Linked DNA regions of Danio rerio. The protein of the gene in region 1 purifies or fractionates together with the protein of each later gene. This does not show direct contact. Links are inferred from orthologs where the notes say so. Each region holds a gene or a part of one and is shown in the gene's direction. Other genes may lie near its edges. The genes, in order: mtor, sqstm1 and akt1s1.

Region 1 (4,321 bases):
AGAGGGTTTTGTGAACCTTTAAAAATAGCAATCATCTCCCTCTTAAAAAAGCGTACTTTTCTGATTCGACAGAGATGTTTTTAAATAAAATTAGTTTTTCTAATAAAAAAGATAGAAATTACAAAATTAGAAAAAATATGGTCTTTGCAACAAAAATATTTCTTCAACAACAAGATCAAAGTATTTTATCCTATTAAACAAATTTTTTAAAAGTTTCATTCTCATATACGGTATATGCGAAGCTAGTGTTTCTTCCCATACTGATAAACTTCCGGTTAACGGTTAATGTGACTTTTTTACATTTTATAAGGTTGCTTTTACAGCATCGATGTTGTAATGTAATTAAAATACAATCAGTTAAATAGACTTTGGCATTCATTTAGTTGCTCAAGCGTAAAACCAGACAAAAAGCCGTTAACTGGCACGCGCCCGTCAGAATCAGCAGGCTAGCGCAGAAGCTCCATTGAATATACTAGGGTAAAATAAATGTTCATATTTTAATGACATGGAGGGGGAAATGTAATTTAATGCAGTGTTTCTTGTACAATCTGAGACCCACTTTATATCGGATACCACACATATATGGAGATAGCTGAATTTTAAAGAAAACAAACCTTAAACGCGCCATTTTGTAATGGATACAGTTCACCGAAAGCGCTTAGCCCAGGTTACTGACAAACTAAAAGTCCTTTAGCATACTATCGCACCCTGTTGATGTAAAATGTTCATTTTGTCAATTTCATACTGAAACTGATTTTCATTTATTTTGGAATTATAATTATGCTGTCCAATTTTGAAAACGTATTGGCTCATTTATTAATGATAATATATAGCAAGACGTTTCTGTTAATTTTAAAGAAATTATTTTTGGTAATTATAAATCTGCCTCTACTAAAAGAAATGCTTAAATTCTATATACACAAATTTGTTTTGGAATTTACTCATACCAAACCATATTTTCCTGTTTTTTTTTTTTTTTTTTTTTTTTGCAAGAATTTAGTCATTATTTACATTTAATTGTATTATCTAAAAATAATAAAGCAAACAAGACTAATTTGCTTTGTAATGACTTTAATTTATATACTGTAATATATTCTTAAATGTTTTACCCTCAAGATTGTATCATGTTCTTTATTTTTTTTTCGTTCTTTCTTTCTCATCCTTATATCTTTTTTCATCGACAAACATTGTAATTTATACTCTGTATTGTAAGCAAATATTGAGACAAACTTGTCAACGTCAATCGGTGAGCAGCGTCAAACATTTACTGTTCTTGCGTATTTCTATGCTGTTACCATTGCTCTACGCAATTTTTGTACGTACGGCTTGTATGTGAATTGGAATTCACGCTCCGTGTGTTTCCTGATTCCGCCTGAGCAAACGGTTGGTTCAACTGGGCAGTTATGGCTGTTCATTGGCAGATGCGACGTCACTCAGTCGTTGTGCCCGCCTTCTAGTGTGCAGTTTTCACGAGTGTAACACATTTAGCGGAAAACCCTCTGTACAAGTAAGAAATATTGCCTATTTTTAAATTCACATAAAAACAGTTTGTAATGTTCTATTATTCTTATATTACGTAAGCTGTTAACAGCCATAAGTGCTAAATGATAGCTACAGATAGCACCTCTGGCTAACAGCTATGCGTTATGTTATTGTTTTGTTTCGTTACATATTATTATTTCTATAAGTATTTTAATTTAATTTAATTTTTATTCGAGTTTGAAACCGCCGAGCATGTCTTAATAATGATAACAGTACGTGAAAATAAGCTAGGGAGAAGGATTTGCTTTGGGAGTTGTAGGTTATGTATTCTTCATGCATTTTGGAGATCAACTGACGATTTTAATCTCATTCATTTGCTAATAATGTTCATTAAATTGGTATGGTTTTGAGTTTGTGGTCAGCATCTGAGCCTTGCACGTTATGAATGAACCCTATTAGATTTACTGTAACTGTTAGCATATTTGACACTAGCATAACTGACACTGCTGTCCTTATTTTGGCGTTTTTAATAGAGTGTGGTCTAATGGGACAGAATAATTAAAACGAGTGAAGAATTCTATAGATACTTAAAGGGATAGTTCACCCCAAAATGAACTTTTCCTCACCCTTTACCTCCTCTCATTAATTTTAAGTAAATACACTAAACAAGATGTTCTGATATCCATTATGGGAACAAAAAATATGATGAAATAATGTAGGTCAATGGCTGTTTTGTCCCAACAGCATTATAGAGGTAAAGTTGGTTTCATATTCGGATATTCAGACTTTCTCCTTAATAGTATAATTTCAGAAAAGTATTCTTTGCCAATTCTAAATAGGGAAATCATATAAGCAGCCAATGATTATCAAAGTACAACTTTGTTCAAAGTCAATTAGATAGTGATACTGTTGTTTTGAAGTCATACTTGCCTGCTAATTTCGATCGAATATTTAAAGTAACACGGTAAACAATATAGAGGCTTCTAAATGAACGAATGTGCGAATATAGAACCAACTTTAGCTCTAGAACAGCATTCAGTATTTCTTTGCGTTCCACAGAAGAAAGAAACTCAAACAGGTTTGCAACAAATGAATGGAAGTCTATGATGCCAGCTATTTTATCTTTGAGTGAACTCACTTTAATGACAATGCTTGTCTGCTCTCTTGCTCAGTAGTCATGGTTTGCAAAGTGGCATTATCGCAAACAAGTAAAACCATATAGAATATCAGAAAAGCCCTACTTCCCCTCTTTTCGACAGTCTGACTTTTAATGAGATTTTGGTATTATTTGTTGAAATATAGTGCATCTCAATCTGCTCCCTAGCTCCCAAGTTAGTGAGTCAGTAGGTCATGTATATAAATTTAGAATCCGGTAAGGACAGTGATGATATTGGTTCTCTATTAAATCTAATTACATGGGTAACAATGGCATATATCCAATTTATCCAAGTATGCTTGAAAGCTAAAAATGTGACCTCTAAACATAATAGTCTTGACCATTATACTTGAATATGTCATTGTTACCAATATATTTCGATTTAAGTTTCATATGTAATTGTCATATGTATGTAATAAAGCAATGTACATTGATGCTAAATAAAGGTATAGTTACAGTGGTTGGTGATAATAAGTGTTCAAAACAATAATGTCCAGAAATCGCACAGAAATAAGTTAATATTAAAAATATGAAAACTAAATTAAAAATGAGAGAAAGTAAAAAAAAATACTATTAATAATAACTAAATGACTGTCAATGCTAACAATATACACTCAGCGGCCACTTTATTAGGTACAGCTGTCCAGCTGCTCTTTAATGCAAGTTTCTAATCAGCCAATCACATGGGAGCAACTCAATGCATTTAGGCATGTAGACATGGTCAAGATGATCTGCTGCAGTTCAAACCGAGCATCAGAATGGGGAAGAAAGGTGATTTAAGTGACTTTGAATGTGGCATAGTTGTCGGTGCCAGACAAGCTGGTCTAAGTATTTCAGAAACTGCTGATCTACTGGGATTTTCACGCACAACCATCTCAAGGGTTTACAGAGAATGGTCCGAAAAAGAGAAAATATCCAGTGAGCGGCAGTTCTGTGGGCGCAAATGCCTTGTTGATGCCAGAGGTCAGAGGAGAATGGCCAGACTGGTTTGAGCTGATAGAAAGGCAACAGTAGCTCAAATAACCACTCATTACAACCGAGGTAGAAGAGAAGGGGGTTGTTGGGGTACTTTAGATCGTTTTGGAAGGGCACTTTCTATCCAAGACTGAAAAGGGCATGTGCACTGCACAGGTTGAGCCCTATGTGTGCACGTGCCTGCTTGTAACAGCGGTTTAGGCCGGTTATTGTGTAATGGTGTGGGGGATATTTTCTTTGCACACTCAGTACCAATTGAGCATCATGTCAACGCCACAGCCTACCTGAGTATTTGTTGCTGACCATGTCCATCTCTTTATGACCACAGTGTACCCATCTTTTGATGGTTGCTTCCAGCAGCATAATGCTCCATGTCATAAAGTGCAAATCTTTTCAGACTGGTTTCTTGAACATGACAATGAGCTCACTGCACTCAAATGGCCTCCACAGTCACTAGAATTCAATCCAATAGAGCACCTTTGGGATGTGGTGGAACGGGAGATTCTCATCATGGATGTGCATCCAATAAATTTGCAGCAACTGCAAACAGTTCACTGTAATTGTGATTTTGTTACATTAAATTACTGTGAAATTACAGCCATATAGTGTAACTTCACAGTAGAAAGTGAAGTCCATACTGTGATTTCACCGTATTTTCTTGTCGAATTAACTAAATTATACTGTGAAGCAGGCTTTCCTCGGCTAGTC
Region 2 (3,069 bases), on another chromosome or scaffold:
CATCTTGGATTCATCATTACGTACTTTGACCATACAAGCCTTTGAATATCTCAGATCTTTTGCAAATAGACATCTTCAATTAATAGCAATTATGTTATTTCCTTCTTTTTCAGAACGAAAAGAGCACAAACGTGATTCTTCTCCTCATGGAATTCCTGGGTTTCCGTTCACTACACCTCACTTTAGCCCTCCTGGTCCCTGTCATATGGGTCCATCTCCAATGGGGCCTCCAGGACCACCTCATATGGGGGGTCCTCCTCACCACCCTCACCCAATGGTGCACCCAGGTGTGACCTGTGACGGGTGTGATGGGCCGGTGGCTGGAACCCGTTACAAGTGCACCGTTTGCCCCGATTATGACTTGTGCCCCACCTGCCAGAGCAAAGGCCTGCACAAGGAGCATGCCCTCCTGCCCATCTTTCATCCTATGGCCAACGTGTTTGAGGTGAATAGCACTATTTTACTACATACAATACACTGCAAATGATCTGAATATTTTGGTTTGATTAATCTTTTGTGTGCAGTGGCTCCCTCGTGGGAAATTTTGGCGTAAGATGAGACACTGCATGTGGGCAAATGCTCAAGCTCAGGCTCAAAACCAGCCTCAGCCAGGTCCATCTGGAGCGCAGCAAAACCAGGATGCTCCTGAAAACCCAAATGAGAATGGTAAGCCAATCATTTAAAAGGGTCTATAGCAGAAGTCAACTCAGCTCCTGGAGGCTGAAGTCCCTCCAGAGATTAGTTCCAACCCTGAAACTGAGTAGGTTGTGTGTTTTTTTATAGAAAGAAGAGTGTTTCTACAGGTGGTTTGTCAATCCCACTCACCTGTGTAAAGCACACTTCAAATGTAAAGTTTTTTTGTAATGTGTCTTATGCAAGTGTCGGTTAAAGTGTCAAAATGATGGAGTGTGATTTCTACAGGTAGTTTTGTCAAGCCCACTTACCTGTGTGAAGCAGGTTTGTTTAATTAGGGTTAAAGTTAAACTTTGTAGAGCTGTGGCCCTCAAAAAACTGAGTTTTACACCCCTGGTCTATTGTAACAGGAGGAACTGGAACAGAATTGGGGCATGTCCAAAATTTTCCTGACTTTATTCTTTTTTTTTAATTATTATTTTATAGGTGCTACTGCCTCTTCTCAGGCTAACGTGGAGTACCTAAAGAACATCGGAGAAGAAGTGGCAGCCATGTTAAGCCCCCTTGGTAAGTCGCCTGCTTTGGTCTTTCCCAAATATTTGGTTCCAACACAATCTGATACTTCTTTGATTGGCATGTTAGGCAAAACCTCTGAAATAAAAGTGATTTTTCCTTTGTAGGCATAGATGTGGACATCGATGTTGAGCATGAGGGAAAGCGGACCAAAGTAACCCCAACTCCTCCTGCCTCCAGTGGACCATCCAGTGCTCGGAGTGACAGTGGTTCTGTGGGGCTTCTTTCTAGAGGCTCTGGTCCAGGAAGTCAGGCCACTGAAGAGAGCGTCAGTGAGGGAACAAAGGTAACAGATACCCTCTTAGCTGTAAAAGGCCTGATCGTCTCAAGTTTTCAACCTAGAAGGAGGCCACATATCATGTTAACGTTTATTCATTCTCTGTTTCAAAATGGCAGAAAGACCAATGTAGTGATGAGGAATGGACTCATCTTAGTGCTAAAGAGGTGGATCCTTCGACAGGAGAGCTGCAGTCTCTTAGACTAGAGCAGGACGGGGCAGATCTTCCAGCTCCACTAAATACTGCTTCTGGCACAAGCACCAGAGACGGTCCCACTGGTCTGCGCGAGGCAGCTCTCTACCCACACCTTCCTCAAGGTAAAGTGTATAATTATTTATGCCCAGTGATGTTCTCTATTCTAGGCTATCACTTTATATCAGTTGAAGCAATTCTAACTTTACTGCGCTCTCCTGCAGATGCAGACCCTAGGCTGGTGGAGTCTCTGTCTCAGATGCTCTCCATGGGTTTCACCGATGAGGGTGGATGGCTAACCAGACTGCTCCACACCAAGAATTACGACATCGGTGGTGCTCTGGACACCATCCAGTACTCCAAAACACCAGGACAACAGAAGTAGAGGTGGAGCACAGGAATACAGAAGACCTGGGCCATACTTAATATTTGAAGCTTCTGGCCTATTTTCTAACTTAGTCTTTCTATACTTTTAAAATGATAAATTTCCACAAATATTAACAATATCAATTACTCAGGTGACTAGTACATAGTTAAGTTCATCATTGGGCTTATATATGCAAAATGTTTGTCTTTAGCTTAACACTTGACATTATAAAGAACATTATTTTCATGTATGCATAATATTACGTAAAGGTTGTTAAGTAGAGATCTATATTTGTGCAACTTCACTTTATGGATTTTCTGTTTGCATAATCAATAAGCAGTTTCTAGATCAAGCATAAACCTGGAGGGTTTGTTAGTTTGAATAAACAGATGGAATCGGATTAATGTCGCTGTTGGTCTTCTAAAATTCCTGTCTTTTCTATCTACAATAAAACACTTCTCTAAAACATTCCTTGTGTTTTGGTGTTTTGGTATTTTGAAATGTACAGGACTAGTTATGAATACAAATGTAGATCAATGCTAATAGTTTAACAATTTATTATTATTTTAAGGAAAATATTACTTTTTTAACATTTTTAACCATCCTTGAAAGCAAACTTACCTAAAATGTGTCATCAAAGTCTTCATCTGTACAAAACAGTGGGTTTAAAGATAAGCTGGAATATGGTGCCTTGACCAGTACGGGTTTACAGACAGCATTTTCAAAGCCTACAGACTTTGTGAAGCTGGTGGTTGGACAGGATACATTTCCACCAACATCCTTCTGTCTGTTTAGAATGCCACTGTCCTTTTCATCTGCTGGACATCGGCGCTCTTCAAAATCCACACCAGTATCTGCTTTTGTGAAATAATGGATCTCAGTTTTCTTACCATTTTGAGATTCATAATCGTACACATCCTTGTCCTGAGTGGGGACGATGGTGAGAAATTTACTCCATTTGGAATCCTTGTTCTCAATTGTAGATTCACCAAATGTCTGATGAGAAGAAACAGAGGGGCTTTCGCT
Region 3 (4,327 bases), on another chromosome or scaffold:
TGTTATAATACGCTGAAAGCATTATGTAAATAATATATAATATGTAATCAATATAGATGCATGGTGGCGCAGTGGGTAGCATGTTCTCCTCACAGCAATAAGGTCGCTGGTTCGAGCCTCGGCTGGGTCAGTAGGCATTTCCGTGTGGAGTTTGCATGTTCTCCCCGTGCTCCGGTTTTCCCCACAAGTCAAAAGACATGCGGTACAGGTGAATTGGTTAAGCTAAACTGGCCGTATGTATGTGTGTGAATTAGTATGTTTGGATGTTTCCCAGTGATGGGTTGCAGCCAAGAGGGCATCCGCAGAGTAGAACATTTGCTGGATAAGTTGGCGGCTCATTAATAAAGGGACTAAGCTGAAGAGAAAATGAATGAATGAATGTAATCAATATAACTTATCTCTAAAACAGCAACAAACTCTGTACCGCATCGGATGTTATTCCCTCGCTGTAAATGCTAGTGCTCCCGGTTTTTGTTTTGCAACCTAAATGTTTACAAACTGGTAATTTGTCTATAGTAGACGTGTATAAATTATATAACAATAACATTGAAAAATTATATATTTATAAACAGAAGACCCTGTTATTTTACATTTGATTATTAAATTTATATATCTCAATACTGTTATAACTCCACCAAAAACCACAGTTTTGTTTATTATTTTTTTTTATCTTTGTTCAATTGTTTTCATCTGTGCTTTAAATGATATTATTTTGTGTATTTTTGTATAATTGTGTATATTTTATGCAGATCAATGTAAAATTGTGAGTTTTTTAAATAGTTATCTTTTGAAATTAAATTCATATATATTAAATATATATATATATATATATATATATATATATATATATATATATATATATATATATATATATATATATATATATATATATATATAGCAAAAAATATTGCAATAGCAGTTTTTTTTTACAATCTCATAAAGCTATGTCAAACTAAGTATCATGTTAATTGCATTTCACACATTCATTCATTTTCTTTTTGATTTAGTCCCTTTATTAATCAGGGGTCGCCACAGCGGAATGAACCACCAACTTATCCAGCAATTGTTTTGGGCAGTGAATTCCCTTCCAGCTGCAACCCATTACTGAGAATGCTTTTCACACATATTCATAATAACTGTTTTCTACAGTACACATATAAGTGAAAAAATCTATTTCAGGATTGGAGTCCTTTGCATGATGATCTGGCATAAACTGTTGTTAATGGTTGTAAAACATTGAAAACGCTTGGTAAATTGAGGTGTTTTGAGTTTTTATGCTAATCGATCAACCCCCCACAAAGAAGGCATGAAAAATAGGTCGGTTGTTTTGAGCTTGTTTTTCAAAGCATTTGCGTGTTTCTCCTGCGCAATCTGGCAACCCTGGTCCGTTCCTACTGTAAACAGCGCTGTGAGCGTCGCTGCACTGGAGTCTAGGGGAGAGACAGGCACGGGCAGAAAGCTCCGAATAAAGAGGGCGTAAAAGTTTGAAGAAAAGGACGACTGTGGTAGAGGCGGGAGGATATTAAGAGAGTAAGTCAACTTCTCGTTGTTCTTTTCTCGAATCGACCCGATGCAGTTTTGATGAAGCATAATACATTTTAGCAGCACTGCTAATGCTGGAGCCCATTGGCCTGTGTATTTCACTTGGCTACTTACCAGTCAACTGATCAACAAGCTCTAAATCAGATCATGTTGTAGTGCATAAACCCTCTGCTTCGCTACTAATACTGGCTGATGAAGTGCATATTAAAGCTGACAGTGACAAACAAAAGCTGCAGAAATCAAGCCTGGCTGCCAGTCTGTCCCGAAAATGCGAGAGACGCACAGATTCGCTGCACAACAGGCCTCGAAAATATTTCTTTTAGCCATTTACAAAAACTAATTCTCATTTACAAGAGTACGTCCCAAACATACGTGTACGTGTGCTGCACGTGTGAGGGAATGGAGGCGTAGCTATCAATCTGAGTGGGGGTTTAAGGAACAGTACTTGACGAGTTTGATGACCAAACAGGTTTTCAAGTTGATCTGCACTTACAAATCAAAGTGCATGTTTGTTTCGCCCATGTAAGTTCGATATATGCATATAAATATATCACTTTATATATACATTTTATTATAGCAGGAGCAGCTGTCCCTGTTTACTTGGGGGTGGTTCATGATTTTGGGCACTCAGAAATGTCCCTGTTGCAGAGCATGGTTAACAAATACAAAACCTTTGCTACTTCAGCTATGAAGATCTGAAGCTGAACAAGAGCAGATACTATTATCATCATTTATCAAAAGGCATGCCATTATAGGTTTCAAAATATTCATTCATTCATTTTCTTTTAGGCTTAGTCCCTTTATTAATCGAGGGTTACCACAGCGGAATGAACCACCTACTTATCTAGCATGTTTTACGCAGCGGATGCCCTTCCAGCTGCACTGGGAAACACCTATACACACTTTTTATATGTTTTATACTCAATTTAACCTACCCCATTCACCTATAGCGCATGTCTTTGGACTTGTGGGGGAAACCAGAGCAGCGGAAGGAAACATACGTGAACACGGGGAGAACATACAAACACCACATGGAAATGCCAACTTCTTGCTGCGAGGCAACAGTGCTACTCAATGTGCCATCCCACCGCCCATTTTCATAATATCCACATTCTACAAATTCATGGTAAAGAAAGTAATTGTGGTTGTAGGGCTGCACACAATATATAATTTCAGCATCAATATCACAATGTGCGAGTGCGCAATAGTCACTACGCAGGGATCTGCAATGTAGTTGGGATAATAGTTGACCAGACATTACAGTTAACAACATAGTGGAGTCGTTTTAAATTTTAACCTTATTATTTGCATGTGTTTTAAGGCCTGTGACTGTCATCATTTATGCAAATTTAAGTAATTTGGGCACAATAAATTGAACATTTGTAGCTTAAATGTACATTATATAATTATTTACTCAATGAAAATGATACATTGTTGGGTTGTTGTTATTATACAGTGATTATTTAATTTCTGTTTATGAATACTGTTTGACTCCCTATCAGAATCATAAAGCATAGTTTGTTTGAATTTTTTTTTTTAACTTTGCTTGTCATTTTTAAAATATGCCTATATTTTACGCAAATACACCCCCTACAGCAGCAATCAATCCCAAATTGATCCTAAATTATGAATTTTTCACAAGCTATTTAAGTCATTTGGTCAAATTGCATTTATATCACAATATATTGTAGTAAATAAAATATTGCAATGTCTTTTTTTCCAAAAGCCTGTATTGGCTTTATGTAGGGTGTGAATTATACATTTGACGATTTCAAAATATTTTTTATAATTTAAATAAACCTATTTAAGGATGACCATGAAAGATGTATTTTTTTATTTTACTGTTTAAATTCCATCTGCAAGAAAGTGTATAATAAAATACAATCTATACATCATGTTTTACGTACTCATACAGTAGGCATGGTTTGAAAAATTCAAGCCTTTAAAACTGCCAAAATATTCTGCTATATCATTCCTAAAGTATGTGTAAGATTGTTTTTTTATATATTTAAAAAAAAAAACAATTTTTTAGGACAACAGTATCTCCAGCAGAAAAGATATTCAAAGATGCCGTTTTAAATTTTACAGAAATCAGTGTTTTTTCAACAAATGAAGACAGCAGAAGTCAATGATTTATTTGAATTATTTAGCCTGACATGTTTACTGTTGAAAATGCATTAAATGTTTCTCAAAATGAATTATATTGTGTTCAAAGGGGAAAAAGTTTTTGTTTTTAACCCAGACATTAAAAAAAGAATATATTTTAGAGCAGTAATCATGAGACCATCAAACCATGATATTTTTATCCAAGTTTATAATACCGTTCGAATCATATCTTGCAGTACAAATGCCTAGTTTACTAGAAATGTTTTTTATGCTGTCTATTGGTTCTCTAGATTTGCCCGTTCCAAACTGCTAAATCAATATTTTTTGACGCAAACATGCATTCACAATGGTATAGACTAGTGGTTGTCAAACTTTTTTCATCATGTACCAACTCAGAAAAAAATTCTCTCCAAGTACCACCATAATGACGAGGCAGATTAATTCCCATTATTAATGTCAGTCACTTTAAACTCATAAATAGTTTGAACATTAACACTACTGTTCTTAAAGGTAAAAATAAATAAATAAAAAGTCAACGTTTAAAGTGTACTTTTAAAAGTGAAGATGGTAGGCTAGTGTTCTTAAAGTAAAATAAAACTGCTGTAGTTAACTGTAAAGTATTAACAAATAGTAAACTATTTATCAAAACCTGGAAATGTTGCTTGGACCTCATAAATAT

What was found.
Region 2: the proteins of mtor (region 1) and sqstm1 purify together in Homo sapiens (affinity purification with western blotting; 4 studies listed by BioGRID, with this or other methods). This does not show direct contact. The link is inferred for Danio rerio from reciprocal best matches to the Homo sapiens genes MTOR and SQSTM1.
Region 3: the proteins of mtor (region 1) and akt1s1 purify together in Homo sapiens (affinity purification with western blotting; 8 studies listed by BioGRID and IntAct, with this or other methods). This does not show direct contact. The link is inferred for Danio rerio from reciprocal best matches to the Homo sapiens genes MTOR and AKT1S1.

What each region holds. Positions count from the first base shown.
Region 1 is NC_133183.1:56,043,824-56,048,144, reverse strand, and holds the start of mtor (serine/threonine-protein kinase mTOR), read left to right. Parts: upstream 1-1,448; 5' UTR 1,449-1,507; intron 1,508-4,321. UniProt on the Homo sapiens protein: Serine/threonine protein kinase which is a central regulator of cellular metabolism, growth and survival in response to hormones, growth factors, nutrients, energy and stress signals.
Region 2 is NC_133189.1:19,144,551-19,147,619, forward strand, and holds the end of sqstm1 (sequestosome-1), read left to right. Parts: exon of another isoform or gene 1-113; coding exon 114-445; exon of another isoform or gene 446-524; coding exon 525-666; exon of another isoform or gene 667-1,119; coding exon 1,120-1,200; exon of another isoform or gene 1,201-1,313; coding exon 1,314-1,492; exon of another isoform or gene 1,493-1,544; intron 1,545-1,602; coding exon 1,603-1,801; intron 1,802-1,900; coding exon 1,901-2,061; 3' UTR 2,062-2,511; downstream 2,512-3,069. Other genes in the region: mrnip (MRN complex-interacting protein), read right to left, coding at 2,665-3,069. UniProt on the Homo sapiens protein: Molecular adapter required for selective macroautophagy (aggrephagy) by acting as a bridge between polyubiquitinated proteins and autophagosomes.
Region 3 is NC_133178.1:28,981,407-28,985,733, forward strand, and holds the start of akt1s1 (proline-rich AKT1 substrate 1), read left to right. Parts: upstream 1-1,425; 5' UTR 1,426-1,530; intron 1,531-4,327. UniProt on the Homo sapiens protein: Negative regulator of the mechanistic target of rapamycin complex 1 (mTORC1), an evolutionarily conserved central nutrient sensor that stimulates anabolic reactions and macromolecule biosynthesis to promote cellular biomass generation and growth.